Linked DNA regions of Stegostoma tigrinum. The protein of the gene in region 1 purifies or fractionates together with the protein of each later gene. This does not show direct contact. Links are inferred from orthologs where the notes say so. Each region holds a gene or a part of one and is shown in the gene's direction. Other genes may lie near its edges.

What was found.
Region 2: the proteins of rbm19 (region 1) and F-box/WD repeat-containing protein 11 purify together in Homo sapiens (affinity purification with mass spectrometry; 3 studies listed by BioGRID and IntAct, with this or other methods). This does not show direct contact. The link is inferred for Stegostoma tigrinum from reciprocal best matches to the Homo sapiens genes RBM19 and FBXW11.

Annotation. Positions count from the first base shown.
Region 1 is NC_081379.1:31,372,192-31,389,157, reverse strand, and holds the start of rbm19 (probable RNA-binding protein 19), read left to right. Parts: upstream 1-9,862; 5' UTR 9,863-9,996; coding exon 9,997-10,032; intron 10,033-16,966. UniProt on the Homo sapiens protein: Plays a role in embryo pre-implantation development.
Region 2 is NC_081366.1:65,876,516-65,893,424, forward strand, and holds the start of F-box/WD repeat-containing protein 11, read left to right. Parts: upstream 1-10,632; 5' UTR 10,633-10,702; coding exon 10,703-10,759; intron 10,760-10,960; exon of another isoform or gene 10,961-10,965; coding exon of another isoform or gene 10,966-10,980; intron 10,981-16,909.

The DNA of each region.
Region 1 (16,966 bases):
TATTCTTTTTAAATTCTTGTTAACATGCACATTCATTTTGACCTGTTTATGTTCACCCATTAAGAGTTAGGATAAGGCAACATACTTGACAGGTCATTCAAGAAGAATTTGGACAGCACCCAGCCAGCAGAGATTAAGACCTTAAAATGCATTATGTTGATGAAGTTCTGTATTTATTTTAAATTTCGATAATCAGAATGTAAAAATTCTAATAAAGCACTTGAAGGAAAAATCATAAAAAAACAAAAAAATCTCTAGTGTTACATTCAGGATTGTTAAACAGAATGATTGTTAGCACTTTGTTTAAGATATACAGACATTTTGTTCATACCAAGTTTATTTTAAAAATGATACACTGTACAACATAGCTTTAAAACATTTTGTGTGTTTTTACCTGCTCCTTTTAATAAAATGATCTTGATATATTAGTATCTACTACCACCTAGTGGTAGATTTAAAATTGTGCATCTTTTTCGAGAAGCCTTTGGTCTTAAAAATAAAATAGTGGATACCAGGGAAGATCATAATGATCAAAGGGGGTGGGGAGGCGGAGGATGGGTGCAGTGGTGATAGTGCAGGTTCAGATATATAAGCTCTTTAGAGGAGAAGAGACCATCCTCTCCACTTGTAGCTTATGGGTTTTACCTGTCAACTTTGCAGGCAAGTTGAGTCGCACCTTGGAGATTTTGAATATTTGTAACATACAAGTAGGTGAACAATTCCTTGTTAAACCCAGCATTCTGGTTTTGATAGCCAGTGCACATACTTCCTTAGCTAAATGATATACGACTTTCTGAGGTCACCGGGCAAGTTCATAGCAAAGTGAACATCTTCAGTGAAACTGACAGATTGGTAAGACTTTAGTTAGTGAAACAGAAGAACTCAGACCATGACCAACTGAGATTTGGCTGCATAGAGCACTCCCGAAGAGTGTGTTCCTACAGCTTTATGGGCGATGTCCCCCTTCTTGGAAAGATTTTCACTGTCCAGCACTTTAATTACATGGAGCTGCTCTTCCTCACTATCAAGTTCCACATTGGCACGGGAACAGCTGATGCAGCTCTACTTTGGACTACTGATTAAAAACTAGAGGAATAACACAACCACATCAACACCAACACCGAAACACATCAACTGCCTTCTCTTAATCAACTGCCCTTATGCAGAGCAGAAGACATGGACACTGAGAGCCAGCTAGAAAGAGGTGAAACTTTCACATAGAGTCAATTATCTGCCCATGTCTAAGCAAAGTGCCGCAGAAAATTCACACTTTAAATATGACTGGAACACCTGCCCATTATTCCTGCCCTTAAAATCTTGTTACTTATCCGATTTCCAATAATGTTCCTTCAAGACTATGAGCTTCAACTTTAGATAAGTCTCATGTAGAACTTTCCCAAATGTTTTCTGGAAACCAACATAAATAATAGTCATAGACACACGCTATTCAATAGCTCAGTCAGCTCTTCAATGAAATCAAACAGGCTCTTTTGGTATGACCCACATTGGCCCTCTCATGATGAGCAGAACATTTTCAAGATATTCAATTACTGTGGGCAGAATTTTCCCATTTTTTGACAAAGTTTTTCATTGAGTGAGACTCATGTGCTCAGTTCCCCATGGCCCGTGTTAACTTTTCTCACACAATCATCTGCCCTTCTTCCCGGTAATTATACAACTTGTTTTCACCGATTTGGGGAATCTAGTGGCAGGAGAGGTAGATGTTCTTACTGCTGTTAGGACTTTCAAAGCACACACTGTTACTGTCATATTTAAATTTCAGTTCCACATCACTTCTCATGCTGCAAGCCATGAGGTGGTCTTAACACTCGAATGCTCCAACATTATAACCATGGACACGATCCAGAAATGCAAGTTAGTGCCTCGGTTCACTGATAGCTGCTACATTGTACGGTGGAAGGAAGTCTTGCATTTTTTTTCCTGAAAATTGGCAAAGAAGGCCACACCAACAGTCCTAGCCAGCCTAGGCTGAGATAGCAGCCTGGGCCAGTGCATGGTGCCAGGTAAATTAATCTGCGCTTTGCAAAGGTAAATACAACCATCTTCTCTCTGCTCTCTCTTGCTCACAGGCCACCACTGACTCTAACTCTTCTACTGCACAGTCATCTCACTAAACATATGGGCTACAATTCTCACTACTGTACATGTAATGTCCATTCAATGGCTTTGACCCACTCATCCTCCCAAAATACTAACCCTTCCGGCCCTCTGTCATGGGAACACCTTGCCCTACGTTCTACGTCTAATGGCTCCTCCATCCACAGTCATCATACTAGGTCTCTCTCTTTGTCTCATGTTGCCTGTCTCTGAGAGACATTACATACATGGGCAAAGATACAGCAGATCTCTATAAAACCACAATTAATTTATTAAGTACCTAAATGAATAACACACACTTTTAGCTACTAGAGATATCCTCAATCACTGTCTTTCACTACTCCGATTTCTGTGACTAAACCCAAACATTACTACCCGGGAGAGTTCGCAGCTGGCCAGGCTGAAACTCTTCTCAATATCTTCACCACACCTCCTGACATAAGGTACTTCTTGCACAACATTAATCTTCAAAATGTTTGAACAAAGGCATTTCTTCAGGCGCTTTACACACAAGTCTCCATGCCAAGTGTGTGCCTTATTTGGAATTATATGTTCATGTGATCAATCCTGAACGTTTTGTCCAAATGTATGTCTTATCTGGTAAAGACAGCAGTTCCTGATTTCCTGCAGTTTTAACTGTTAGCAGACATGACTGACTCGTAATTCCATTCACATAACAGACTATTGTTAAGCCTCTTATCGGCTCCAGTTATCTCCAGTCTTATCCAACATCTCCACACTTTCGATCGAAAGATTAATATGAGGATCATCTCTGTTGGGTTTTCTACATCCTCCAGGGCAACTCCAGACAGTGGTAAGCATTACATCCTCACAGCATTGTGTTCTCAATAAAGCATTACTTCAGTTGTGTTATCTGAAATGCCACTTAGATCATTGTACTTAACAAAACTATAGTCATAAACATTTTAAAAAGTTACAAATCAGTCTTGTTTCATCACAAATACATTGTTATACACCTTTCACATATTGAAAGATACACATAATATCAAAACAAATGACAAATGAATGAATCCTGTCCTACCTGCCTTTTCTTGATCCTAATATTTCTGAGCTATTACTTATCCTCATCTTTTCCTGGACGGAACTTCAAAATTGTCAACGGATTCAACACTACAATGTAAGTAAAATGTCATACCACCCAGAATACTGCCAACAGATGCCGTGTATCCCTGTTCTACTGCCGTGATCTTGTGCTAGGCAGAGGCTACCGATCTCAACTGATCATGCACCTCTAGTAATAAGATCTCTGATGTTATGGAGTCTGTTGCAACCACCTTCATGGAGAATGGTTCAGCTGTATTTGGGGTTTTTAGGGCAGCAGCACTCACCAAACCCTATTTCAAAACTATTATTGCTTGCAGGTGACCTGGCTTCAATTTCCTTGGGGTATTTTTCTTCAGTAACACCATTAGTGGTGCTGCCTTTAGCAAAACCATCAATATGGTCTCTACAATACCCAATCAAGCCCAACATGATCTTCATCCCTTCACATCTGTAGGGATAGGAGGTCTAGCTGCCATTTCAATTGTTTGTTTGTCTATCTCTCTTTTTCCTGGTGTTAACACCACTCCTAAGTAACTCACTTCCTGCCTCATTATCTGAGCCTTGTTTGGATTCACTTTTAACCCAAACTCCTTTAATAATTGCAATAGCTTACTCAGGAGCTGGTAATGCTCCTGTTTGGTTCCCGTTGGCAAAAGCAAACCATCAACATACTATTTCAGGCAGTCTTGCCTAGAAAAACCCACAACTCATTGCTTAAGCCTTGATGAAGTATTAATGGAGAGTTGTGAAATCCCATGGCAAAACAGTCCACATATATCGCTTTCCCTTTGAGGTAAATGCAAATTTATACTAATGCTCCTTGGAAAAAGGGATTAATCAAAATCCATTACTTATATCCAGCACCGTAAACCACTGTGCAGATTCATTCTGTTTAATCATGGTTTTGGGGCTAATAGCCACAAGGAACCTATTAAGGGCTTTACCTTATTTAGTCCTCGACAATCAATAGTCAGCCATCAACTCATTCCAGTTACTTTACTAGCCAAATAGGTGAATTATTTGTACAGGTGACTTACCTTAATGCCCCTTGTGCTACCAGACTTTGCACTACCTTTTTGTATATCAGTTTCAGCCTGCTTGGGGAATCCATACTGCTTTCGGGGCTTTGGATCTGAGCCCTGCATACACAGTTCCCCTTGTATCTGTCCACAGTCATCCTTACATTTGGCAAACACTTCCTGGTTTTGCCCAAAAATTCCTTGTACTATCAGGTCCTCACTCATGTCAGCAGGACAGATTCACATTTCTCCCACTGTACACACCTTCCTGCAGGAATTTCAGCAAAAAAAAACTGCTCCTCACTTACTCCTGGCATTTGCCACATCATTCAGTTCACTGAATCAAAGCACAGTGATGCTCTAGCCATATAATCACTTCATGGGATATGCTCTTGATTTGCTGGGAGTTTCATTAATAATATTAGATGCATTATCTCTGCAGTTCCTATTTGTATATTTAAAGGGTTTGTCACTTGTCCTACTTGAGAATGTCCTGTAAGATCACTCAAGATTACCTCTGTTTGTATTTTCCAATCATGATGATTTTCAATAGCTGTGTTCAGGGTGATCCCCCGTGTCCCAAAGGAAAGTGATAGGCCGACCCTCCTACCATACCGTTGACTAAGGGTCTCCCTGTCCACCCCCTTTTGCATCGCACATCCATATAGGAGAGGCCTACTGTCATTGTGTGTTGGAGCACAACCCACTTGTGGCCTCAGTTGGATTGTGGGTAACTTGGAACTGCTCTCGGGGGTCATCCCCAGGCTGACAATTGCGTATACACATGGCCATAGCTCCGAGCTGTTGAACATTATTAGGGGCTGGTATATGTAATGTCGGCTGTTGCGGTTGCACACCTGGCACTGCTGGCTGTTGTCCTTTAGAGATCGGGGTGGGCCTTAGGGGCAACAGACCTTACTTCTGGCCCTCTTTCCAGAGGGGACCCCATTCCCCTGGGTCCTCCTCTCCATATCTGGCCACTTACTCTGCTAGCCTTCCCAAGTTGATGCCACCATCTTCCTCCTCAAAGAGTGGGGTTGCAAATGCAAATATTATCCCTCTTTGCTCAGAAATCTGACTGTATAACCTCTCCATCTGCTTTATATACTTTGTGTGATTGCCCGAGGTCCCTTTTTGCTCCTGTCCTGACTTATGCACTACATTCCCAGCTACATTGTCTCTTTAACTCTTCTGTCTGCATGTGAGCCATTTTAGTTTCCTCTTCATTTTTCTCCTTTTGCCTCATTAATTTCTCACACTGCATTTGATACTGGTTTATATGCATGAGGTCTCCACCTCTCTGGCTTTGTAAATTCCCAACCTTCACAGTCAGTCTCTTCATCTCTTCTTTAAGTTCGGCTACCTTTGGTTGCTATTGCTTTTCTTCCCAATCTTCCAACATACAAACTACTGCTGCAGCTTTCTGCTCTTTCTCAAAGTTCCTTTTCTCTCTGTCATCTTTTGCCATACTCCAGACAGTATCCCCACAGGTTCCAATTTCCATACCAGTCTTAATGGTATACTCACAGTACTTGCCACTCCCCAGCCCCATATTGTTGAAGAAGTCTTCTCCAGTCAGAGTTCCCTGGACCCATCATTCTCTGTTAGCGCTAAGTTTCTTAGTGTGTCTGCTGATCCTTTTGTATTTCTCACTACTAAATTTCGACCTCCTCCTTCCCAGCACCCACTTAGTTTTAGACCTAACGTGAGACAACCGTCCTCTTAATTTCAGGCTCAGGCAGGGTGTCAGCGTAACTTAAAGTTACTTCTTGTCAATTCCCAGAGGTACGCCAAAATTATGTTGCCCGTCTCTGTGAGATAATAATACATACAGAGAAGAAGATACAGCGGAGACACCTAGAACTCTACAAAACTACAATTCATTTATTAGGTATCTAAATGAATAACACACACTTTTAACTACTAGAGATATCTCAATCACTGTCTTTCACTACCCTGATTTCTGTAACGAAACCCAATCATTCTTATCCAGGAGAGTTCGTAGCATGCCGGGCTGAAACTCTGCTCGAAGTAGGGTACTTCTTGCACAACATTAACCTTTGAAGTGTTGTTGAACAAAAGGATTTCCTCAGGCTTTTTATATACGAATCTCTGTGCCAAGTGTGTGCCTTAATCAGAATTATGTGTGCACAAGACCAATTCTGAATGTTTTGTCCAAATGCATGTCTTATCTGGTAGAGACAGCAGTTCCTGACTTCCTGCAGTTTTAACTCTTCGCAGGCCTGACTGACTCAGTATGATTCCATTCACATGGCCAAGCCCACTTTCATCTAGAAGGACGAAAGCATCAGCCATATGGGAACACTGCCACCTCTAAGCTCCCCTCCAAGTCACTCACCATCCTGATTTGGAAATATATCGCCACTCCTTCACTGTCGCTGGCTCAAAATCCTGGAATTCCCTCCCTAATAGCATTGTGGGTCAACCTGCAGCAGGAGGTCTGCAGCGATTCAAGAAGGCAGCTCACCACCACCTTCCAACAGGCACCTAGGGATGGGCAAGAAATGCTGGTCAGTCAGCGGCAGCCACATCCCACAAATGAATAGAGAAAAAAAATTCACATAATAGACCATGGTTCAGCCTCTTATCAATTCTTGTCAGTTCCTGTTATCTTCAGCCTTATCCAATACTTAAAGCAGGAAACATTGGCCCATAACCTGGACTGACGACTCCACTGTGCTGGATTGATTGACGTGTAATTCCTGATTGGTTGTTCCTGAACTATAGGTCTGACCATTGCTAACCCTCTGAACTGCAATCAGATGATCCCGTTCACCGACTATGGCAGTAAACCCTTACTGACCATAGTCACCCTTAACCTCACTAAGGCCAGCTCCTTTGTGACCTTCACATATGGCTGTTTGAAGAGCAGGTAGTGTATTTGCGGAATAAGTTTCTGACAATGTTGTAGTGTGAAATTAATGTAGCATAATGATGTCATTTATATCTAACCCCTTGGCTGTTCATTGATCTGAGCCATGAAAAACTCCTGCCTCTCCCTAAAAGAAATGCAAGTTCCCAAGGTTGATGGCCTCCAAACAAACACAACGTGCGTGACCACTAAGAGCTGAAGCTTAGAGCGATTGGAAGCATCCTGTGTAGATGCATAAGCGTGTGTTCCTGCACACTGAGAGGCCTGGCAGAAGTGATCCATAGCCCCAAACTGAAATCCTAATTGGGATTCTGAGTAGGTATGAAAGTAGGTACAATGCAATGGTGAGGATGTTAGTTTGTTGTTGCCAACTTGCTTGGATGAAGGTTGGAAGAGGGAGATATCCTTCGAACATCCAGGGATACTGTGGCACAGACAGAGCTGGATAAGGCCCAGAGAAACAGGAAGTGAGCTACTTGTCTCTAGGTTACTGATCTGACTTGAGTATTGGTGCCATGTAGCTTGATAGAGCCGGGGGGGGGGGGGGGGGGGGGGCATATTTGGAAGCTGTGTAGAAATAAAGCAGGTTGTGCTAGTAATGACACGTAAATGCATGGAAAAAGGTTTCATAAGGATCTCATTAGCAAGACACGAACTTCACTGTTTAAAACCTAAGGCAGCAGTCTCTCATCTTCCATTCTTAGTACAGTATAAATTTAAAATCAAACATACATTATTATTCATTTTGTCCTTTACTCCACAAATCTTGGCATTACACCCTTGACTGCATATTATCTACCAGTGCCTTGAAGTCTGGTTTATAGTTTGAGACTGCTAGTCATATACAGTCCATGAAATAGTAACTGTGAGGCAGGCATGATTCATGGACTTTTGGGGCACAAAATAGAGCAGGACATAGAAAAAACATGCAAGAAAGGCAAGGTTACAGTGATCATGGGGGATTTCATTATGCAGGAGGCTGAGAAAATCAGGTTTGCAGTGGATTGTAAGAAAAGGAATTTGTGGAATGTCTATAATAGGGCTTTTTGGAGCAACTTGTGGTGGACCCCACTAAGGAACAGACAATTCTGGATTTAGTGTTGTGCAATGAGGCAGACTTGATAAGGGAGCTTAAGGTAAAGGAACCCTTAGGAGGCAGTGACCATAATATGATACAATTTACTCTGCAATTTGAGGGGGAGAAAATGGAATTAGATGTAATGGTATTACATTGAATAAAGACAACTACAGAAGAATGATGGAAGAGCTGACCAGAACTGACTGGGAGAGGAGCCTAGCAGGAAAGACAGTTATGAGGAACATTTGAAGGCTCTGGGCCTATACTCGATGGAGTTTAGAAGGATGAAGGGGGAATCTAATTGAAACTTACAGAATACTAAACGGCCGAGTCATAGTACATGTTGGGAGGATGCTTCCATTGGCAGGAGAGACTGGGGCCTGAGGCTACAGACTTAGAGTAAAGGGAAGACAGTTTGCAACGAAAATAAAGAGAAACGTCTTCTCCAGAGCATGGTGATTCTATAGAATTCATTGCCACAGAAGGCTGTGGAGGCAAGTCATTGAGTACATTTAAGACAGATACAGATAGGTTCTTGATTGTCAAGGGGATCAAGGGTTTTGGGAGAAAGCAGGAGGATGGGGTTGAGAAATGCATCAGCCATGATTGAATGGTAGTGCAGCTCAATGGGCCAAATTGCCTAATTTCTGTTCCTATGGCTTAAGGACTTGATTATATTTGATTGGAGGAACATTGTCTCACAGATGTACATGGAGCCAAAGTAAGCTTCAACATTACAAGCATAGGATATTAGGAACTGGTATTTTACTCTGTTTACCAGGCCCCAAAAATCGCTGTCCTTTGATCTGTCTTTCAACTCAATATTGTTTTGCACAATAACTAGCTTGGTGTCAACTCTAGTGCTTTGTAAATCAAACATCTGATGGAATTTGGTAGCCAACCTACTAATGTCTATTTGAAGGAATAGATTTGAAACAAAATGTTTCCAGGATTTGTGCTAGTCATTGCATTGTCCGTGTGGAAATAACTTTATGTGGCCTTTTACCCCATAAATCATCCATGGCTTTTGTTTTAGGCAAGTATAGAGTCATTGTTCCTTAGGTGTATAAACGGTGTTCTTTTCATTTTAAAAAAATCATATTGTATGGATTTTGGAATTATTCATCGACTTACACGCATGGTTTAATTTACAGTTTTGGTTTAATCTTCATTAAGTCAAATTTACACGAATCAATAAATAACCTCTTGATTTGCCTTCCCTGTCAATCACCACACCAACTTGATCACGTTATGGCAACTAGATAAGCATTCACACTCAGTGAGACTGTTAACTAAATTTAACTTTGTTTTAGGTTGTTAACTAAATCTGGCTTATTACTGAGCTTAAGACAACATTTAGCCGGTCTGGCAGCATTTGTGAAGAGATCTAATGAAGACATTATCTTGGACTCTGCGCTGATGCTGCCAGAACTGCTGAGCTTCTCCAGTACTTTGTGTTTTTATTTCAGATTTCTGGCACCATTTTGCTTCAATGTAACGTTCCCTCATTTGGTTCCAGGGCAGTATTCTGCTGGAAACCCATCCAGAAAACACCCCGCTCACACGCTTTGGAATCACTGCTCCTGTAGGAGCGAGTCAGCTCTTTGCCCGTTTTGAAGTGAAGATTGCGCCCGGAGAATTTAGTCCGCCGCTGCTTGCCGTCGTGCCCCCGCAAGGGATTCTGGGAGCAGGCAATCGCGTGTTGGGCCCAGAATCCCGGACTCGCGGCGAGTGTGACCGTTACAGGGAGCCCGTGGCCAAGGACGGGAGAGGGCGGGAGGGGTGACAGCGCTAGGACCCGGGGAGGGAAAGCGGGCTGCGAGATGTCCCGGCTCATTGTGAAGAACCTGCCGAGCGGGGTAAGTCCAAGAGGCCGGGTGGGGGGAGCGTGCTGGAGGGGTATCTCGTGTCCACTTTGTTAACCCCCCCCCCCCTTCCTCTGTCCGAATCCCCGATCCCAACAACAACAACAACAACGTGGAGGAGCAGAGATAGCTCTGTACGCTGTCATGTTGTGGCATCTCTTCCACACACGGCGTGCTGTTGGAACGCGATTAGGTTCCCCTGCTCCACCTTTAATCCGGCCAGGGACTGTGGCAGTAAAATGTGAGGCTGGATGAACACAGCAGGCCCAGCAGCATCTCAGGAGCACTGTGGCAGTCCGTCTCCAACACAGGTCCTCAACTTGCCCAGCAGGTTCTGCAGAAGGATCGCTGGCCCCGTAACGTTAACCCTGCTTTCTTGTGCAGTGATGCTGTCGGACTTGTTGCAGATTTGTTTTTGTTTCGGTTTGCTGTGCTTTCTCCCCGATTTGTTGTAAATATGCTGCTGTCCTCATTCAAGCAAGCCTTCTGATACCTGGACTCGTAACTCTTAACTCTGCCTTCTCTCCACAAGTGATAATGGGAACTGCAGATGCTGGAGAATCCAAGATAACAAAGTGTGGAGCTGGATGAACACAGCAGGCCAAGCAGCATCTCAGGAGCACAAAAGCTGACGTTTCGGGCCTAGACCCTTCATCAGAGAGGGGGATGGGGAGAGGGTTCTGGAATAAATAGGGAGAGAGAGGGAGGCGGACCAACCTCCGGATACAACGCATCATCCTCCGACACTTCCGCCATCTACAATCCGACCCCACCACCCAAGACATTTTTCCATCCCCACCCTTGTCTGCTTTCCGGAGAGACCACTCTCTCCATGACTCCCTTGTTCGCTCCACACTGCCCTCCAAGCCCACCACACCCAGCACCTTCCCCTGCAACCGCAGGAAGTGCTACACTTGCCCCCACGCCTCCTTCCTCACCACTATTCCAGGCCCCAAGATAACTTTCCATATTAAGCAGAGGTTCACCTGCACATCTGCCAATGTGGTATACTGTATTCATTGTACCCGGTGTGGCTTCCTCTACATTGAGGAAACCAAGCGGAGGCTTGGAGACCGCTTTGCAGAACACCTCCGCTCGGTTCGCAATAAACAACTGGACCTCCCAGTCGCGAACCATTTCAACTCCCCCTCCCATTCTTTAGATGACATGTCCATCATGGGCCTCCTGCAGTGCCACAATGATGCCACCCGAAGGGTGCAGGAACAGCAACTCATATTCTGCTTGGGAACCCTGCAGCCCAATGGTATCAATGTGGACTTCACCAACTTCAAAATCTCCCCTTCCCCCACCACATCCCAAAACCAGCCCAGTTCGTCCCCTCCCCCCACTGCACCACAAAACCAGCCCACCTCTCCCCCCCCCACACTGCATCCCAAAACCAGCCCAGCCTGTCTCTGCCTCCCTAACCTGTTCTTCCTCTCACCCATCCCTTCCTCCCACCCCAAGCCGCACCTCCATTTCCTAGCTACTAATCTCATCCCACCTCCTTGACCTGTCTGTCTTCCTTGGACGGACCTATCCCCTCCCTACCTCCCCACCTGTACTCTCCTCTCCCCCATCTTCTTTACTCTCCATCTTCGGTCCGCCTCCCCCTCTCCCCCTATTTATTCCAGAACCCTCACCCCATCCCCTTCTCTGATAAAGGATCTAGGCCCGAAACATCAGCTTTTGTGCTCCTGAGATGCTGCCTGACCTGCTGTGTTCATCCAGCTTCACACTTTATTATCTTCTCTCCACAGATGTTGCCTGACCTGCTGAGTTTCTCCAGCAATTCAAAGTTACAAGTCTTCTGGTTACCCCTGTATTCTGCCTTTGAATCCTTTTCCAGTGCTGTTGCAGAATGTCTAAACCAGGCTGCATTCCCCGGATTAAACTTTATATCCATAAGGATTGACTTTTCATAAGTTATGAATAAGATATCTTGGTCCTGAAAGATAATGAAGTATAATTTATTGTATAATCAATAATATAGTTATTCAATCATTTGTTCTGCTCTGAATGAACTAAATGTCTGAATAATTGCTATGTATGCTTTCTAGCATACTATCTTGGGTCAGATACCACTGCTATTATTAAGGTCTGAGTGCTTCTCAGTATATTTTCGTAAGTAATGTGTGTCATAAAGACAGATCTTCTGATGCAGTAGTAGTGCCCCTACTTCTGAGCCAGAAGTCTATATATAATCTGGAGTGTTTCTGCTTACTGACTCCTGTGCACGAGTAACTAACTGAATGCACAGCTCTGATTCCAGTTGCATTGAACATGGAGTGACCCAGTACAACTTCCAGTCCAGACTTGTAATGTCATGTAACTGTCTTAAATGCTCGCCTGGTCTGGAATTTATGCTTTAATACAGCATCTCCCTTTTCCCTTTAAAGAATGGGACTGCTTTTCCAAACCTGTATAGGAATGGGCATAGATACATTGTCACTACACATTCAGGTTAGCCTTGTTGGATGGATGACATGACTAGATTTAGTTCTCATGCAGTTATTATAACCTGGCTTATGTTATCTCCCATCACATTATCTATTGTAAAGCATGATTGTTGGCTGGCATGATATTTTCACCATCCAAATTGTTATCCTGTTTGATACGTGGTTTGTTGTATGCAGTTTGAATATGTTGCTTGTCTCTTGGTAGGATTGGACTATTTCTTGTTAAAATGCCATGTGACCTTGGTGATGTTCTGAGAACCCATGCGTCCATATGAAAGTCTTATCTTTTGCTGTGTGCTCGTTCATATTGGGATAACTGTCTGCATTTTCATTGATCATGTTCTTGTTCCGTTTTGGTTGGGGGGGGTGAAATTTTGAGAGAGAGGAATTGTGTGAATTTGCCTTCCAACTGTTAGAGCTATCAGTGTGGGTAACTTGCTTCCTTGGGTAAATTGTTTCCTTGGGTAAAATATATTCTTGGTATGGTCATCTGAAAATTTTGGCAAAGTGCCAAAATGCCGTGGACAATCATAGATTTTTCTGTGTGCAGTGCATTCTGCAAGACTGTTTGGCTGAGGGTAGTGAAGAGAAGAGGTAGATGATGGACAAGTCATTTCCAGCACTTGTAAGGATGCACTGGTGAAATGCGGATTGCTGTCAGACACAATTTGTTTATGAACACTGAGCATGCTGAATATCACAGTCAATGTGTAAAAATCATTGCGCTGGTATCATCTTTTGTCATATAAAATTCGGTCAAATATTCATTTAACAGAATGTAAAAGTGTCTTTGGACATCTAAAATATTTGACAGGCAGGCTTACACCATGGCATATAGGGAATTTTACATGGGATGATAGGTTCTCTCTATAGTTGGGGTTAATAATGTTGGTATATTTCACTCAACTTGATTAGTTGATCAGTCTTTATTAATGGTGGCCCACTAAATGAATTTATGCATCATTCACTTAGTTGTTTTTGTGTGCTCATGTGATGTTTTGTATAGTTTTGCGTGTCTTGACATTATTTGAATTGCTGCTTATTATTGTTAAAAATTATATTCATGGAGGGTCCTAATTTATCTCTATCACCAGAATGAACCTTTTCCCCTAAGAACTTGTTGGATGGGTTCAGGCCCACCTGGTGCTGATGAAGTTGCAGCTCGATCATCATCTGATTATAGCTTGCCGAATCTGTTTTGCTTGGTTATGACCAAAATGATTGGAATTGCTGTTGAGGGAATGTTCTAGCATAGATTCGATAGTATTCACTTGTATGTCAAAAGGAATATCTGTGTTCTTAGACGGACTTGGAAGGTCAGCTAAGAGTACCAAGCTAGTCATTTGGAAGTCTGGTTTGTGTTGTAGTTCAAAATTGGTCTGTGACAAGTAATCACTGAAGCTGTACTTCATTTTGACAGGTAATTTCTAACAGTTTGTGGTTGGCGTGAACAACAAAATACTTATTCAGTAGTTGTCTGTGAAACTGTCATATTCCAAAAAACTAGAACAAGAGTTTCTCTTTCACTGCTGAAGTAATTTGCCTGAGCTGATGTTAAAACATTGAAAACCTACTACATTTGGTTCCAATCCCGTGATAGATATGCTCTGGTACCTTTATTGGATATATCTACTTCTGATGTGGTAAATATTGAAGGAACATAATACTGAAGAACACTTTTGAGAGATTGAAAAATGGACTAGTGGTCTTCCTGTCACGTGTGGTAAGTTTTTGCCGAGAAGGTCTCGAAGAGGAGATATGGTTGCAAAATTTGGAATAACGGTGAATCAAAATTGAAGAAACTGAGATCCCATTGTAAATCATCTTTGTCTTGTGGTGTGAAGATGTTCTGTATATCTTCAATTTTGGCGGCAACATTCTAATGCCATTTGATAAGTAGATTGAACTGAAGAAATCAACTTTGTTTATGCATATTTTATATTTTATGTACTTTTAGAAAAAGTACTAATTTCTTGCCAGTGTCATGAGCTGAAGGACATTTATATCATTTGCATGTTTAGTTTTTCTGAGGATTGCAGAGTGTTCTGTGATAAAGTGAAAACTTGGTGGGTTCTTGGTGATATTATTCACATAACCTGGTTGAGGGTAATCTGAGGAAATGATGTCTAGTGAGAGATGTTCTTTAAAAGTTTTCAGTCCCTGTGACTTTGGTGAAAGATTTTAAAAAATCATAGATTCCCTACAGTGTGGAACCAGACCATTCAGTTCATCAAGTCCATACTGACCCTCTTGAACAGCATCCCACCCCCCCTCTGCTATCCTTGTAACCCAGGATTTTCGATGGCTAATTCACCTGGCCTGCACATCTTTGGGCACAATGGGCAATTCAGTGTGTTCAATCCATCTAGCCTGTACATCTTTGGACTGTGGGAGGCAACCTGAGCACCTAGAGAAAACCCATGCAGAGGTGGGGAGAATGTGCAAACTCCATAGACAGTTGCCTGAGAGTGGAATCGAACCCAGGCCCCTGGTGCTGTGAGGCAGCGGTGTTAACCACTGAGCCACTGTGCTGTCCCTGTGTCTGAGCTAATGTCCCTTTGTGTTGATTTGGAAATGTAATTGGCGCTGATATTTATTTGATTTGGATCTGAACATATCTCTACAATGCTCATTGTTCAGAGCACAAGAAATTAAGGTTATGTCAGCCAGTATGATGCTCAACCTCTGGATAATGTCATTTTGTATAATGGAGTCCACTTCCAGTTTGAACTTTAATTGACTGTGACTGCTGCATTTAAAGGGACGATAGATGATGTGTTAGGCATTATCTTTGTTGCTAATAATGTTAAACTGTCCGGGGAAAGGTTAGTCAGGTGATCGTGATGGAGGGACTCAATGTTGTGGTTTAGCATCTTTTGTATTGTAATAGACATGTTTATTAGCTCATGGATTGTAATAATACATCAATCTATGCATTCTTGTAGACTAATCATAGTCCTGTTGTGAATCTGGCAAAAAAAGATTCAGGTGTCCCTTGTAAGGAATGTTGATGATACTGTTCCTTCTTTGACTCTTCATACGCTGCTGTGGAGCTTTGTGTTGCACAGTTCAGTCCAACCTCTTCTTGTAGAACATATCTTTTATATGTCACAAAATGTCTGACAATGTTTTGGAGGGCAAGACAAGTCACATCTCCTAAAGGAGTACTGAGTTTGATAGCTACAGTAGGTGCTATAAAGTCAAGCATGTTGCTGACTTACAGCAATTGCTTTGAATATGCGTTCTTCTTCTAGCTCTGTGCCCATGGCATATTCTTTTGGTTTGTCTGGAAGGATTGTACATCTTGAAATTGACTCAATCTTTTAAGTTGTCTTTCTTTAATAGTGATTTGTTGATCAGGAAAATAAAGATTTATTCCTTCTTGAACTGAAATTCTGACAAAATGTCAGTGGTGTGTCAGTTTATCCCCACGTATTTACTATCTATCTTTCTTTCCCTGCTTTGTTTAGTTGGCTTCCGGCTGTTTTGTTCTCTTGTTGGTGCTTTAAGGTTACCTGCTTTCTATTTCTTTCTTTTGAAAGAAATATTTGAGCAGTGCTTGTATGTGGCATTTTGCTTTGTCTTTTGTGGGAAATAAAATGGTGCTGTTGACTGGCAACCACATGTAGGTAAGTCCTCAACAATATACGTAATTTTTTTTTCAATGCTTTAGGCTGCATGTTGTTTTGGGGTGCATTGCCAATTTGGGAATGTCCTGAGCCTCCTGCAAACTGCCATTATTTATATTCGACAAACCTTGGCCTCCTGTTTTTTTTCTAAAGTGAGTCAATGTACTCAGAACTGTTTCTCCATTGTGGTTGATGTGCTTCAGTACAGCCTTTAGTTTGGTGGCTGTTGTAGACTGGTGAATGATCAGTCATGACTATTTGGGGAAAGAAGTCTTCACAACTGTCAATGCTGTTGTCATCAGCTAGCTGCACTACTGTTGCTGTTAGCTGCCACCAGTTCTAATGCCCACTTGCTGTCACCATGTCACACTTTGATGGGTTAAGCATCACTGCCAGTAAGATATGATCTGAGTGTTTCTCGGTTTATTAACTCAAACAAATATCACAATGACTGGGATAGTAAGAACTGCCAATGCTGGAGTCAGAGATAACACAGCGTGGAGCTGGAGGAATGCAGCAGGCCAGGCAGCATTAGAAGAGCAGGAAAGCTGACGTTTCAGGTCAGGACACTTCTTCAGCTCCACACTGTGTGCTCACTAAGACTGGATTCCTGTTGAGGCAGATGTCTTGCCGTTTATTAAAAACATTTATTTACATTGCTATATCATTGTACATTCTGATTTCGGTGCTTACTGACCTGTTACTTTTACATATACTGAACTGATTGGATGCACTACTCTGACTTCATTGCACTGAGCATGGAGTGATTGAAAGCAATACTGGACTGTCAATTATCGTAATGTCACCTAACCCCCAAGTTTACCTATCTGAGAGGTCTGG
Region 2 (16,909 bases), on another chromosome or scaffold:
TTCCAGTGTCCTTGTTGACAGCATGTGCAAGAAGCGTGTCCAACTGCAGGTACTGGCTGACCATTTTTTGGAGCTGTGAGTGGACTCACTGTGAAGCATCTTCAATGCTGCAAATGTTGTGGAGAGCACGAACAGTGAGCTGGTCGTACTGCAGGTGAGGAATGCACAGGCAGAAATGGAATGGTGACCTAAAGACAGTAAAAGGCTCAGGAATGAAGTGCAGGAGACCCCTGTTGTCATTTCCTTTCAAACATCTATCACTTTGCTTTCTCAGATATATCCAGCAGTCGTCAAATTCATGACACCACTGGTGGCTCTGCTGAACAGAAGGGGAGGAAAATGAGTGGCAGGGCTTTAGTGATAAGGAGATTCAACAGCAAGGGGTACAGACAAATGCTGTGGCTGCAGTTGTGGATCCAGGGTGGTATGTTTCCTCCCTGGTGCCAGGGTCAGGGATGTAACATCCGCTGCAGGACATTAAAATGGGAGGGTGAACAGCCAGTAGTCAAGGTACATATTGTTAACCTATGCAGTTGGTGCCTTAGGGATTAGGATCTGAAAGCTGAATATAGGAAGTTAGGAGATAGAGGACTTCAAAAGTAGTCTTTCAGGATTACTCCCAGTGTCACATGCTAGTGAGAGCAGGCATAAGAGGACAACTCAGATGAATGTGGCTGTATAAATGTTATCACGGGGAGGGGGGTTAGATTCTTGAGGCATTGAGATGGTTTCTGAGGAATGTTGGATCTCTACAAACCTGACAGGTTGCATTTGAACAGAGCTGGGACAAATCTCATGGGGACATTTGCCAGTTCCATTGGAGAGGCTGTAAAATGTTATGGTAGAGGGATGGGAATCAAAGTGACGGTTTAGATGAGTCAGATTCAGATTGGGAAGAAGAAAGTAGAGCACTGGTTTGTGATATAGTCAGGACACAAAGACAAAATAAACTTAAAATGCATTCAGCAAAGAAAATTGACAGGATTGAGCTGTTTATACTTCAATGCAAGGAGTATTACAAACAAAGCAGATGAAGTAAAGGGTCAGGTAGACAATGGCAGCATGATGTCATTGCTATGACAAACCTAGTTAAAGGGGCAAAACTGGTAGCTCTGAATATGGAATTTTCAGAGGATAGAGTGGGAGACAAAATAAAGGATGGGAATGGTAGGGTTATCGGTTAAAGAATTAATCATAGTTGTGAAAAGTTAACAAATATGGCTTTATGGTTGAGTCCAGAAATGCAAAAAAGGGTAGTCACACTATTGGGAGATAGAAAGACATGTGTGTAGACAAATTTCAAACAATATAAGGGGTACTAAGGGTGAAACATTCATGTACTCTGTCCAGGACATTTTAAAAAAAAACAAGATGCATGACAAGCCCAATGATAAGAGATGCAATTCTAGATTAAATTTTAGGCAATGAAGATGGGCAAGTGGATGAGGTGACAGTGGGTGACTGTGTCGGAAATAGTGACCACAATTTGGTTGGATTTAGTGTATTGTGGAAAAGGACAGCAATAAGGAGTAAAAGTCTTTAATGAGGGAAGACAATTTTTTATAAAACTTAAGTAATTGGCTGAGGTGCACTGGACAGAACAGCTAAATAATAAATTTATGGTAGACCAATGGAAGACAATATCCAGTGATATACAGTTTTAAGGTAGGATACAGTGGATGACAAAAAGGGGTGGGGTAGCAGTCTAAGTTGAAGCATTAATCATAGTTGTGAGAAGGGATGATATACTGAATGAGGCTTTATGAATTGAGCTCAGAAATAAAAAGAGGGACGTTTCCTCTTTTTAGACTTTTACACTGCCAAGAGTATACTACGGACCCCCCAAAATCAGGGAAATAGAAGAACATGCATGGAAACAAATTTCTGCATGTAAGAGGCAATAATAGTAGGGGACTTTAATTATCCCAGTATCAGCTGGGTTTCAAAGAACATAAGGGGCATGAAGGGTAAAAACATTCATGCAATGTGACCAGGAACTTCCTTTAAACGACATGTGACCAGTCCAAAGACAAGATGCAATTCTGGAATTAGTTTTGGGGAATGAAGGTGGGCAAGTGGTGCGAAATAACAGAGGTTGACCATGTCAGGGATAGTGATCACAATTTGGTTAGATTTAGTATTATTATTGAAAAGTACAGATAAATCAGGAGTAAAAGTCTTAGAAGACAAGTTTATAAATTTAAGTGATTTGGCTGAGGTGATCGGACAAGACTGCTAAAAAATAAATTTGTGGTAAACCAGTGGGAGGCACTAATTAGTGAGATCCTTGAGGTACAAAGGAAACAAAACCCCCAAAATAAGAATGATACTGCCAAATCTAGACCCTCCATGGTTGTCTAGAAAAATACAAGCAACATTAAACAGAGAAAGCAAGCTTGTGATAGTCACAAAAAAAACTCAACACTGCAGATAGCCTCAGACTAGAGAAAGTGAGGAATTAAGTTTAAAAAAAAGAGAAATCAGAAGACAGGACATGAAAAAAAAATCAGCAATTAAGCTAAAAGAAAACCTGAAAATGTTTGAACAGTACATAAAGAGCAAAAGAATAGTTACGGGAAAATTGGGAACTGTCGTAGATGAGGAAGGGCACTTGTGTTAAGATGCTGAGAACTTGGGAAGAAATTTAAATGATTTTTTTGTCTCCATATTCAAAAAGAAAAGGGGTGATTAGGGTACAGTAATCCAAGAGGGGCAGTGTGAAATATTGAACAAAATAATCATAACACGAGAGGAAATGTTAGGAGTTGGAAACCTTGAAAGTCGCTAAATCGTCAGGACAGGATGGATTGTTCCATTGGATATTGAAAGATGTCAGGGAGGAAATAGCAAATGTTCTGAGAATTATTTTTCCAATCTTCCCTCGACACAGGTGAAGTGCAGGAGGACTAGAGGAGTACAAATTTGGTTCTGTTTTATAAAAAGGGTACAAAGGAAATGCCAAACAATTACAGGTCAGTTAGTTTTACTTGGGTGGTGAGAAATCTGTTAGAATCAATCCTGAGGGACCTGATGAACTTGACATAGAAAGGCAGAGCTTTGTTAAGGGAAGGTCATGCCTTACAAGACTGATTGAATTCTTTGAGGAAGTGACAGGGAGGATTGATGAGGGTAGTGCAATGGATTTGTATACTTGGATATTAGTAAAGCATTGGACAAAGTCCCACATGGTACACTGGTCAAAACAGTGAAAGCCTAAAGGATATAAGGTAGTGTGTTGAAGTAGATTCAAAGTTGGCTTAGTAACAGGAAACAAAACACATTGGTCCATGGCTGCCCTTGTGAATTAAGAACAATTTCAAGTGATTTACCACAGGGCTCAGATTTGGGACCCCTGCTTTTTTAAAAAAATTTAGATCATAAAATCCCTACAGTGCAGAAACAGGCCCTTTGGCCCAACAAGTCCACACTGACCATCTCAGCCAGACCCACCTCCCTATAACACACCTAAGCTACACATCCCTGAACACTATGGGCAATTTAGCATGGCCAATCCACCGAACCTGCACATCTTTGGACTGTGGGAGGAAACCGGAGCACCTGGAGGAAACCCATACACACACGGGAAAAATGTGCAAACTCCACATAGACAGTCACCTGAGGGTGGAATTAAGCGTGGGTCCCTGGCACTGTGAGGCAGCAGTGATAACCACTAAGCCATCATACAGCCCCAAACATGCATTAACAATTTGTATGTGAAAATAGGGGGCACATTTCGGAAATTTACGTATGACAAATTGGCTGTGTAATGAAGAGTGTAGAGGATAGCTGTACGCTCCAAAATGATACAGATCAGTTGGTGGAGTGGGCAAGAACATGGCAGATGGAGTTCAACTCTAATAAGTGTGAGGTAATGCATTTAGTGAGGTCAAACAATAAAAGGGAATATATAATAAACAGGAATATCATGAGATGGGTAGATGAAGTGAGTGATCTTGGTTTTCCAGTGCACAGGTCCCTATATGTAACAGTACAGGTAAATCAGGTTGTAAAGAAGGCATGTGGAATGCCCTCATTCATTGATAGAGCTACAAGTAGGATAATAATAATGGAATTGTATAAGACACTGGTGAGGCTACAGCTGGAGTATTATGTGCAGTTTTGGTCACTACATTACAAGAAGGGCACAACTGCTGTGGAGAAAGTGTAGAGAAAACTTACTAGAATGGTACCATGGCTGGAGAATTGTAGGTATGAGGAGAAGTTTGGACTGTTTTCCTTGGACCAAAGGCAGCTGAGGGGTGACATGATTGAAGTATACAAAATAGTGAGGGATAGAATAGACAAATTCCTTTGGCAGTGAGTTCAAAAATCAGGAGCCATAGGTTCAAGCTAAGTGGCAGAAGGATTAGTGAGAATGTGAAGAAAAATATTTTTACACAGAGAGTCATAGATGACTGGAATTCATTGTCTGAACTGATGGTGGGGATTGAGCCCCAAAACTCTTAGAAAGTACTTGGATCTGCACCTTAAAGGCCATAACACCGTAGGGCTATGGGCTGTGTTCAGGAAGATGAGATTAGAAAGAGCGGCTTTGAGTTGGAATGGACAAAATGGGCTAAATGGCCACCTTCTACACTGTATAGTTTCTATAGTTCTATGAAACTTGCTCTGTCAGTCATTAAGATAATACCTGATTGAACACTTCAATGCCTTAAATCCACCACATCCTCATAAACCTGTACACCACTGGTAATCAAATCTATCAATCCTCTATCTGAAACAGACTCAAAGGCTAAACCTTCACAGGCCTCTGTTACAGAATTCCAAAGGTTTACAACCCTTTAAGTTTACTTTACAACACTTTACTCCTCATCTCGGACGTAAATGGCATCTCCTTTATTTATAGTGTATCTGGTTTTAGGTTCCACCATTAGGGAAACATTTATCTGTACCTATCCTGTCTATCCCTTTAAGTATTTTGTCATTCTTCAAATCACCTGTCATTCTTCGAAAGTTTGGAGAATACAGGCCCAGTTTACTGAATCTCCCTTCACTGGATGTTCCCACTATCCCAGGAACAAGTCTGAAGAAATTTTGTTGCACTACCTCTGTGGCAATAATATTTTTCCTGAGCTCAGGAGATCAAAACTGCACACTGTACTCTAGGTGTAGTCTAACCAATCTTATTCACAATTGAAGCAAAACTTCATTTCTACTGGACTCAAATCCTTTCATGTTAAAGGCTAACATTCCACTAGCATTCCTGACAGCTTTCTGCACTTGCATTTTAATCTTCAGTAACTTCATAGAATCATCATAGAATCCCTACAGTGTGGAAACAAACCTTCTCAAGGGTAATGAAGGATGTGCATTAAATGCTGTTCCAGCTTAAAAGACAAAAATAAAACAAAGAACTGCTGCAAAGCTGAAATGAAAACAGAAGTTGCTGGGAAACTCAGCAGGTCTGGCAGCAGCTATGGAGAGAAAGCTGTGATACCATTTTGAGCCCAGTAACCCTTGCTGAAGATTGGGGATAGGGGTTGTTAGGAGTATATAGTAGGTTGAGATGGAGCTAAGAGGGAGAGGACAGGCAGAAAAAGAGATGGATAATGGTGAGTCAGGGAGAAAGAAAAGCTGATAACGGAGACCATAACTAGGTGAAAATGGGTTGGCTGTGTGGAAAAGAGAAAAGACCTTCTGCAGGGGGTGGAGCCTCAGATACATCCACCCTTCTCCTCAACCGAGGATTCGCCACTACCGTAGTTCAGACAGCCCTTAGCCGTGTTTGATACACCGCCTACATTTCTGCCCTCACCCATTCCCTTGTCTCCCATGACAAACAGAAATTGCTGCAAAACTTATTAGGTTTCCACAATGACAGGGTCTCCTTGGTCCTTACTTACCATCCCATCAGTCTCCACATTCAAAGGATGTGAACCGCCACTTCTGTCACCTCCACTGGGATGTCACAATCAAAACCCTCCCCTCTCTTGTCAGCGTTCAGCAGGATCATTCCCTTTGGGATACTCTGGTCAAGTCCTCCTCTACTCCAAACATTTCCACACATCTTCCCATGCAATCGCAAAATGTGTCACACCTGCCCATTTACCTCCTCCTCTTTCCTTCCCCTCCAAGATCCCTGACATGCCTCCTAGATGAAGCAGCAGCTTATCTGCACTTCACTCAATCTAGTCTACTGTATCCACTGCTGATAATGTGGGCTCGTCTAAATTGGGGAGATGTAGACACAGGCTGGGTGATTACTTCGTAGAACTGTGACACTTGGTCTGCAAAAATGATTCTGAACTTCCTGTTGCCTGCTGCTTTTACACATTGCCATGTTCCCATGGCAACATTTCTGTCTTGGGCCTGCTGCAGAGCACTAACAAGCCTTAGCACAAACTCAAAGACAACATCTCATTTTCCAATTAGGGATGCTCCAGCCTCAAAGGCAACCTCTCCCCAACCTAGCTCCACCCCCAATTCCCAAACCCTTTTAAACCTTTCCCCATCTCTTCCCAATCACAATCTGTCACTGTCCCCAAACTCTCCAGCTCCCCCACAACTTTGACTCATGTCTTCTTCACTCGCAACCGCTCCCACCCTCTCCTCATCACCGCCCCATTCTCATCCCAACACAAATCTGCCCCCATTCCCAAACTCCTCAAATTCACCCCATCCCTTCCCCATTCCTGGCCTCCTTCCCAACCCCTCCCCATTCCTTCCTGGCTCTCTCCACAATGCTTCCCTTTTCCCAGCCAACTTCTCGATCCCTCACCAGCCCTGCCCTCTTCCCGACCCCTCGCCGTCCCTTCCCTTTCCTGATCCACTTCCTGACCCCTCACCATCTCTTTCCCTTTCCTGGCCCCCTTCTTGACCTCTCACTATCCCGGTCCCTTTCCTATTGCCTCCTCTTGCACGATCCCTCCTCCTTTCCTATCCCCTACCCATCCATTCCCCTTTCTTATCCCCTATCCATCCCTTCCCCATTCCCTTCCCATCCCCTCCTTCATCCCTTCCCCCACTCCATCCTTTCCCCATTCCCATCCCCTCCCCATCCTCAATACCCGCCATCCCCAATCCCTCCCATTCCCTCCTCACCATTCCCAACCCCTCCCCTCACCCATCCCTATCTCCTTCCCCATCTCTATCCCATCCCCTCATCCATATCCCCTTCCCCATCCTCCTCCCCATGCCCATCCCTTTCCCATCTGCTCCCCATCGCTTCCCGTATCCCATTCCCCATCCCATCCCTTGCCCTACCCCCATCCCCTCCCCTAACCCATTCGCCACCCCATCCCCACCCCATCTCCATTCCATCCCCTCCCAATCCCCATCCACTTGCCATCCTCATCCCATCCCCTCCCCTACACCCATCCCCTATCCATCCCTTCCCCATCTCCATTCCATCCCCTCCCAATCCCCATCCCTTCCACATCCTCATCTTCTCTCCATCCCTTCCAGATCCCCATCTCTTCCTCATCCCCAGTCCCTCCCCATCCCCTTCCCCATCCCACCCCCAGCCCCTCCAATCCCCATCGCTTCACCATCCCCATTCCACCCCCCCCGGCCAATCACCTCCCCAACACCACCCTATCCCCTCCCCTATCTGCATCCCCACCCCATCTCCATTCCATCCCCTCCCAATCCCCATCCTCACCCCTACCCTGTTCCCCATCCACTCCCCATCACCACCCCATCCCCTCCCCTATCTGCATCCCTACCCCATCTCCATTCCATCCCCTCCCAATCCCCATCCTCTCCCCATCCCTTCCACAACCTCATCTTCTCTCCATCCCTTCCAGATCCCCATCTCTTCCTCATCCCCATCCCCTTCCCCATCCCAATCCCCTCCCTATCCCAACCCCTTCCCCTCCTCACCCCTCTCCCCACACCCACTCCCACCTCTATCCCAATACCCTCCCCATCCCCACCCCATCTCCACCCCTTCTCCATCTGCACCCCAACCCCTTTGCTCACCCCTTCCCCATCCCCTTTCCATCATCATCCACATCTCTATCCTTCCCATCCCCATCCCTCCCCTATCCCCTCCCCATCCTTTCCCTTCTGCATCCCCTTCCCCTCCACATTCCTTCCCCATCCTCTCCCCAATCCCCATCTTCTCTCCATCCCTTCCAGATCCCCATCTCTTCCCCATCCCCATCCCCTGCCCATCCCCATTCCCTCCCCAATCCCATCCCATACCCTCCCTATCCCCACCCCATCCCATCTCCACCCCTTCCCCACCCCACCGTACCCCAACCCCTTCGCCCACCCCTTCCCATCATCATCCACATCCCTATCCTTCCCATCCCCATTCCCTCCCCATCCCATCCCTTCTCCATCCCCTTTGCATTCCTTCCCCATCCCCATCTTTTCTCCATCCCTTCCACATCCCCATCTCTTCCCCATCCCCAGTTCCTCCCCATCCCTTCCCCATCCCATCCCCAACCCCTCCCATCCCCATCGCTACCCCTTCCCCTCACCATTCCCACCCCTATGCCAATTCCCTTCCCCTCACCATCCCCACCCCTATGCCAATCCCCTCCCCATCCCCTTCCCTATCCCATCCTATCCCCATTCCACACCCGCACCTCATCTCTTCCCCTTCTCATCCCTTTTCCTTTCCCATCCTTTTTCCCTTTCCTATGCCCTACCCATCCTTTCCACTCCGCACACCTCCCTTACCCCTTGTCAACCCAACCCCGTCACTCCGCACACCTCCCTAACTCCTTGCCAACCCAACCCCGTCTCTCCCACATTCCCACTCCTCACCCTCCCTCCCCAACCGGTCCCTTTCTGAGCTCCGGTTACACCCTGTCCCATTCCCTCACCATCCCAGCCTCATCTTTCTCATTCCCAATCTCGTATCCCATCGAAAGTCCTCACCTTCCCGCCCCCCCCCGCTGCCCCGCCCCTCGGAATAGGCGTGGTTGATTGTATGGGCGGAGGTTGACTGAAGGTTTCGGTTTCGACAGTGGGGGCGTGACGTAATGAAAGTTCGTGACCTTTTGTTGGACACGGCAAGGGAGAGGGTTGAGCTAATGGGGAAATCATCCTTCCGTGGACGGTGTTACTGAAACCCCGCCCATTATGTAAGGCGGGGCATTTGTGGGCGCGGCCACATATGGGGGCGTGGTACTGCAATGGACGTCAACAGTGAGGGGGCGGGTCCTGATGGAGAAGTGATCAGTCAGTGGGCGGAAACAACCAAAGACTCGGGATCACAACTGGTCCAGGCGGCATCCAAGCTAATGTTTCCAGTCCAGATGACTCTTCATCAGAGCTGTAGCGAAGGGTGGAGGGTGTGGGGATGGTGGGTGTAGAGTGCTAGTCGAGAATGATCGAAATGTGAGAAAGGCAGAACAATAGTGTGTCTCACTGCCCGAGTTGAAAGAGAAGCCAGTCCCACTTGGGTGGGGGAAGAGGAGAGAGAACATGGTGACAGAATGTGACAAGATAAACAAAATGGAAAAAATGGGCGATTGTAAAAAGTAAAGCTACAAGGGAAAAAACGGAAACTGGCTCACAATTTTAAGGCTTTGAACTCAATATTAAGTCCGGAAGCCTGTAATGTGCCTCGTCTGAGGATGAGATGTCGTTCCTCCAGTTTGTGCTGCGATTCATCGGAACACTGTAGTGTCCTGAGGGTAGACAAGCGAGCATGCAGGCACTGTGTACAGACTGGAGGTGTTCGACAAATCAGTCCCAGTCTGCAGTGGAGAGACTGGCGAAGACCTTAGTCCATTCCTACCACCAACACCACACACCCTTCAAAAGGCACCTTCCCGTGTAACTGCACAAGGTGCCACACTTGCCCCTTCGCATACTACCTGCTCACCATCCAAGATCCTAAACAGTTTTTCCAGGTGAAGCAGCGTTTCAACAGTACCTGCTACAATCTTGTGTATTGCATTGTGTATTAACACCCACTTTACATTGGAGAAACCAAATGCATTCTGCGTGACCACTTCGCAGAATATTTCCAGTCTGTAAGCAAACATGATCACCACCTTCCCATGTCCTGTTTGCATGCATACTTTTCTGTCCTCAGCATGCTGTAGTGCTCCAGTGAATCAATGCAAACCAGAGGAACAACATCTCATCTTCAAACTAGGCAATTTACAGCCTTCTGGGCTTGGTATTGAGTCCAACACCTTCAAATTGTGAACCAACTCCAATTTCTTCCGTTTTGTTTAGCTTTACTTGTTACATTCTTTGTCAACATGACCTCTCTCGCCTCTGGCCACCCCTGTGGGACAGTTTTGCCTTTCAAGTCTGGCGGTTAGACACACCATTGTTCAGCCATTCGTGAATTCCAATCACTTAATCTGGGCTATCAACATCTTTTCCACACCCACAGCCCTCTCCCCACTGTTGCACAAATGCTGCCACCCTTCACTTCAGCTTTAATGACGAATCGTCTAGACTGGAAGCTTCAGCCTGCATCTCCCTCCATAGCTGCTGCCTGACCCGCTGTGACCTGCAGAACTTTGTCATTCTCAACACAAGCTCCAGCCTCTGTAGTAATTTGTTCCGAGTCAGTGGGCGGGGCCTGCAGTGGCGTTTCCTGACGATTGAAGGGGGTCGCGTGGAACGCGTGACGTCAGATACGGATGACGTTACAAACCAAGGGGCGCGGCGTGATTTCGTCAGACGCTTGTCGTCAGGCTTTGGGTTTGGACCGGGCCGAGTGCGGGGGGGGCGGGGGGGTGAAGCCAGAGCTCTGCATTCTCCTTGTATGTGGTTCACGATGGAGGCGGATTCAGTGATCGAAGATAAAAGTATTGAGCTGATGGTGAGTGAATCTCGGGGAGCGGGCTTGAGATCTCGGGGCTGGGTGGAGGAGGGGGGCTGTGGTCCTGCCAAGGGCTCCGGCACAGGCCGCACGTCCTGCCGGAGAGCCGAATGCGTTTCCATCAGATCATCGCCTCTCCCTGCGGCTCCCAGCACGAACTGCAGGAGGGGGGAAAACGTCCCAGAATCTGCGGGCGAGGAGGATGAATGTACCGGAGGGAGGTAGAACAGAGTTTGGTGGCGGCCAGGAGAAAAAATCGGATTGAAGATGGGCAGGAGCACGTCAAGGGGGTCGGGTTTAGAAAATGGGATGGACAGGAGGCTTAGAGAAACATGCAGGCAGGAGATGGAAGGTAAAAAGAAGTGTTTGTGAATGAGTCAACCCCAGCGTAGGGAGCAGGATGATCTGGAAGCTGAGGGGAGGCACTAGGGTTTGAAATAAATTAATGGTTCTGGGCAACAAGAATGGGCGGATGCAAGGAGTGTAGGAAGGGACAGTTGGGCTTGGAGTATAGAAGGAGAGCGAGGTAGTTTGGTAGAGGGTTGACTTGCAGGATGGAGGTGAGCACCATGACAGAATTGCGTGGGTAGTACAGGAATTGCTGTGCGCTTCAGTTTCACTATTGGGCGGTGGTTAGGATGTTCTGTGCGTTCAGTTTCGTTGGAAGTTTTGTGTAACCACAACTTCACATTTATATGGGTTAGCAAACTGGCTGAGAGAGTCAGTTTTGGTAAATTTTGCAATAGAGCAGTTTTGGGATAACTTGCTAGGGTGTGAAGGGAGCAAACTGTTTACTTTTGAGTGTGTCTTCCATTTTCAGTGCTAATGTCTTGTATTGAACCAAATTCATCAATTTTTATAAGGTGCATTGTCTTTGGGATTATTCCTCAGGAATGGTCAGAGAAACAGCAATATTTCTATCGAACCTGCCTCATATCTCAGTATGGCTGGATAATCAAAACCTAACACTTCCCTCAAGAGGGAAAAGACTCAATTCCTTGAGTAATTGAAGCCAGTCGTGGACATCTGTGGGGCAGCATGTTACATTTGCCACCCATGATGTGATTTTTGGGCCAGTTAGGGAGTGATCCGGTCCTCCTTGAAGACATGCAATGGGTCAGCAAGACACTTCACTGACTGGCATTGTATTTTAGAAGTGACGACTCAACTTCAAAAAATGCCTCTTATTTTGCCCCTTGTATAATGCTGGAATTGGTACTTTTGTTTAAAGTGTCAGCCACTGCTGACTTCGTCCAGTGTAGCAAGGATCTGAGCTCTCTTTTTCAAGGTGGTTTTGGGTGGGCTTGTGAAGAAAAGTGAGAAGTTGTTCATATGCAGACACACTGGCAGTGTTTCCTTGGAAAGGGACTTGCCTGACCTGTGTCTTTCTGTGAATAAGTAGGGTTTGATGCTTAGCTATACAGATTGGATTGCAGTGTAGTTGCTTGTTGGAGTTAGACTGATGCATTGAACAATGTAATTAACTCTCTTGTCCCTCTGCAAGAAGTGGGGAGGAATTTAAAGGGGTTTCTCCCCGCTGTGGTTTCTGACAGTAGCTGTGGATACCTAGGTGGGATGGGATTGAATTTAACAACCAAGTATCTTGAGGTAGATATCTGTGGAACTATACCCTCTTGTGCGGGCATCAGTAAATTAAACTGAGAGCATCAAGCTGTTGAGTAGTTTAATTGCTGGTTGTGATTGACAAGTGTCAGCAATTTAATAAAGAACAATGCAGCTCATGGTGCTTGAGATGCACCACTACAGAAGGAGACATATAATAAAAGGAACAATTGAAACATGACCAAATTGCTGGTTGAAACCATATAAGCTTATAAAAGACGCATGACTGGATTGTTATTGTGAGAAGTGTCAGTGCTGAGTGCCTCTTTGACATCTTTTCTTATTACATGTTGTCTCACAACAACAACATTTGAAAACCCAGCAATAATTTACATATACATGCTGAAAACAACCAGCTGTACCTGTCCTTGTGCTTTCCTCTCTACAGTTGCTTCACAAACAGTTTGTAAATCCACACAGTCTTTCCGACTTAAGTCAGAAGGCAATGTATGGAAATTTCTCTAGAGGTTTGAACATGTAGCCTATTTTGATACTGCAGTGCATAACTGTTGAAGGTGTCGTCTTGAGTGCAATATTAAACCTTGGTCCCATCAGTCCTTTAATATGGATGCACAAGGTCCCCAGGCTTTTTATGAATGAGGGAAGTTCTTCAGGTGTCCAGGCTTTATTGCTGTTTGTGGGATTTTGCATGCAATTGATTGTAGTTCTACATGATCACAGCGAATACATTTGAATTACATCAGGTCTAAGAAGTATCTGATGTAATTGCACCTATGTAAACAGAGAAAAAAAATCTAACTTCTCCTTTTGACAGAGATCATGAGTTGAACTTCCCTGAGCATCACACCGAGCTTCTCCCCTCTCCATAATGCCACATTTTTATCATGGCTAACCCACCTAACCTGCACATCGCTGGACACTACAGGGCAATTTTTAGTATGACCAATCCTCTTAACCTGTATGTCTTTGGATTTTGGGGGGAAAATTATTGGTTGTTCTCTCTGCTAGGAGTTGCAGCAGTGTGAAGTCCGCAGTGGTACGTGCAGACGTTCTTCAGGGTTCTTTTGCAACACTGCAAACTTTGTCATAACTAGCACTCGTGATAAACTGGCAAAAATATATATACCTCCAATTGCACTGTATTGTGATGTTTGAGTATTAATGCTATAAATAAAGGATAAAAATTATGTGTACCCCCTGCGTTGCATTTGTCACTTACTATGTTTTATGTTTAGTTTTAGAAGGCGTTTGGTATAGGTTTTTGAGGATGTTGCTATTCCAGAAACTTCACTTGGTCAAGGTTTACTGTGGTTAGACATACCTGTTGATCATGTAGAATATTTGATCAACTGGCACTATTGATGCTGTTAATAAAAAAAACTTATTGTACTTGTGGATCTGATTGTAGACCAGCTCTCTGGCACATGTTGAATGTGTTGTTTGTCACATGGCTTTGTGGATATGAACAGTGCATGTCTCCCTGTCTGTGCTGCTGGGAAAGGGAAGCTGGCTTTGGTTGGAAATTCCTGGGAACATGCCCTATGTGTTTCTCTGCAGATGCAGAGCTAGTTGATTTATCATGGAATGGGAGTTTGTAAACCAAATGTCAAACTGCGAATGCTTGTTCCTAAAATTGATTTGCATATCCAGAGGGCAGATGAAGATTTTGATACTTGGTGATGCAGTTGGAGGCAAGACTGAAACATTGAGGGATTGGTGAATTATCTTGGTGTCTTGTGGGAAAATGATGAGGACTGGGCCTGAGTGTCAGGCTTTACATGCAGCACGCTTGATTGGTAGATTCCACGTTACTTGCCACGAGTGAACTAGCATCTTCAAAGATTGGCGTCAAAGAATCTGTTCATGTCATGTTGCTGGGCTTAATTTATCTGTTCAGACTTGGTATGCTCTAGTCTAAAAGGTAAAGTCGCCGTAGTCTTAGCAGACATTAGGGGCTGCTCTTTCATTAGAAAGATGTTTAACCAGTGGGTTACTACACCTCACGGTGGGGGGGTGCATAAAATTGAGAAGGTGAGCCCACACTTTATCCGATGCAGGAATTGAACTCTCTCTGGTGTTATTCTGAATCGCAAATCAACCATTCAACCAACTGAGTTAAACCAACCCTGGTATTACAGTCTAGAATACAAGAATTAAACATTGGTTTTAACAGTGATCACACTTAGAGCATTTCATGCGCTATAAAGCACTTTGAGATATCCAGTGGTCATGAAAAAATCATACAATTCTTTGTGGGGAAGTTCAACTCATGATTTCAGAAGCTTCCATTGTCGAGGAAGATCTGCCTACTGAGTCAGTATGGGTGGAAATTAGGAACAGCAAGGGAGTAGTCACCTCGTTAGGGGTTTACTACAGGCCCCCCCAATAGCAGCAGGGAGATTGAAGAAAGCATAGGTCGACAGATTTTGAAAAAGTGTGCACGCAGTAGGGTTGTTGTAATGGGTGACTTTAACTTTCCTAATATTGATTGGAACCTCCTTCGAGCAGAAGATTTGAATGGAGCTGTTTTTGTAAGGTGTGTTCAGGAGGGTTTCCTAACGCAGTACGTTGACAGGCCGACGAGGGGAGAGGCCATTCTAGACTTGGTGCTCGGAAACGAGCCGGGGCAGGTATCAGATCTTGTGGTGGGAGAGCATTTTGGTGATAGTGACCATAACTGCCTCACATTCTACATAGCTATGGAGAAGGAGAGGATTAGGCAAAATGGGAGGATATTTAATTGGGGAAGAGGAAACTATGATGCGATTAGACATGAGTTAGGAAGCATGGACTGGGAGCAGTTGTTCCATGGTAAGGGAACTATAGACATGTGGAGACTGTTTAAGGAACAGTTGTTGGGAGTGATGAGTAAATATGTCCCTCTGAGACAGGCAAGAAGGGGTAAGATAAAGGAACCTTGGATGACGAGAGCGGTGGAGCTTCTAGTGAAAAGGAAGAAGGTAGCTTACATAAGGTGGAGGAAGCTAGGGTCAAGTTCAGCTAGAGAGGATTACATGCAGGCAAGGAAGGAGCTCAAAAATGGTCTGAGGAGAGCCAGGAGGGGGCACGAGAAAGGCTTGGCAGAAGGAATCCGGGAAAACACAAAGGCATTTTACACTTACGTGAGGAATAAGAGAATGGTCAAAGAAAGAGTAGGGCCGATCAGGGATAGCATAGGGAACTTGTGTGTGGAGCCTGAGGAGGTAGGGGAAGCCCAAAATGAGTTTTTTGCTTCTGTCTTTACGAAAGAAACCAACTTTGTAGTGAATGAAACCTTTGAAGAGCAGGTGTGCATGCTGGAATGGATAGAGATAGAGGAAGCTGATGTGCTGAAAATTTTGTCAAACATTAAGATTGACAAGTCGCCAGGCCCGGACCAGATTTGTCCTCGGCTGCTTTGGGAAGCGAGAAATGCAATTGCTTCGCCACTTGCGAAGATCATTGCATCCTCGCTGTCCACTGGAGTCGTACCTGAGGACTGGAGAGAGGCAAATGTAATTCCTGTCTTCAAGAAAGGAAATAGGGAAATCCCCGGCAATTATAGACCGGTAAGTCTCACGTCTGTCGTCTGCAAGGTGTTAGAAAGGATTCTGAGGGATAAGACTTATGACCATCTGGAAGAGCATGGCTTGATCAAATACAGTCAACACGGCTTTGTGAGGGGTAGGTCATGCCTTACAAACCTTATCGAGTTTTTTGAGGATGTGACTAGAAACGTTGATGAGGGTCGAGCTGTGGATGTGGTGTATATGGACTTCAGTAAGGCATTTGATAAGGTTCCCCATGGTAGGCTCATTCAGAAGGTCAGGAGGAATGGGATACAGGGGAACTTAGCTGCTTGGATACAGAATTGGCTGGCCAACAGAAGACAGCGAGTGGTAGTAGAAGGAAAATATTCTGCCTGGAAGTCAGTGGTGAGTGGGGTTCCACAGGGCTCTGTCCTTTGGCCTCTACTATTTGTAATTTTTATTAATGACTTGGATGAGGGGATTGAAGGATGGGTCAGCAAGTTTGCAGACGACACAAAGGTCGGAGGTGTCGTTGACAGTGTTGAGGGCTGTTGTAGGCTGCAGCGGGACATTGACAGGATGCAGAGATGGGCTGAGAGGTGGCAGATGGAGTTCAACCTGGATAAATGCGAGGTGATGCATTTTGGAAGGTCGAATTTGAAAGCTGAGTACAGGATTAAGGATAGGATTCTTGGCAGCGTGGAGGAACAGAGGGATCTTGGTGTGCAGATACATAGATCCCTTAAAATGGCCACCCAAGTGGACAGGGTTGTTAAGAAAGCATATGGTGTTTTGGCTTTCATTAACAGGGGGATTGAGTTTAAGAGTCGTGAGATCTTGTTGCAGCTCTATAAAACTTTGGTTAGACCGCACTTGGAATACTGCGTCCAGTTCTGGGCGCCCTATTATAGGAAAGATGTGGATGCTTTGGAGAGGGTTCAGAGGAGGTTTACCAGGATGCTGCCTGGACTGGAGGGCTTATCTTATGAAGAGAGGTTGACTGAGCTCGGTCTCTTTTCATTGGAGAAAAGGAGGAGGAGAGGGGACCTAATTGAGG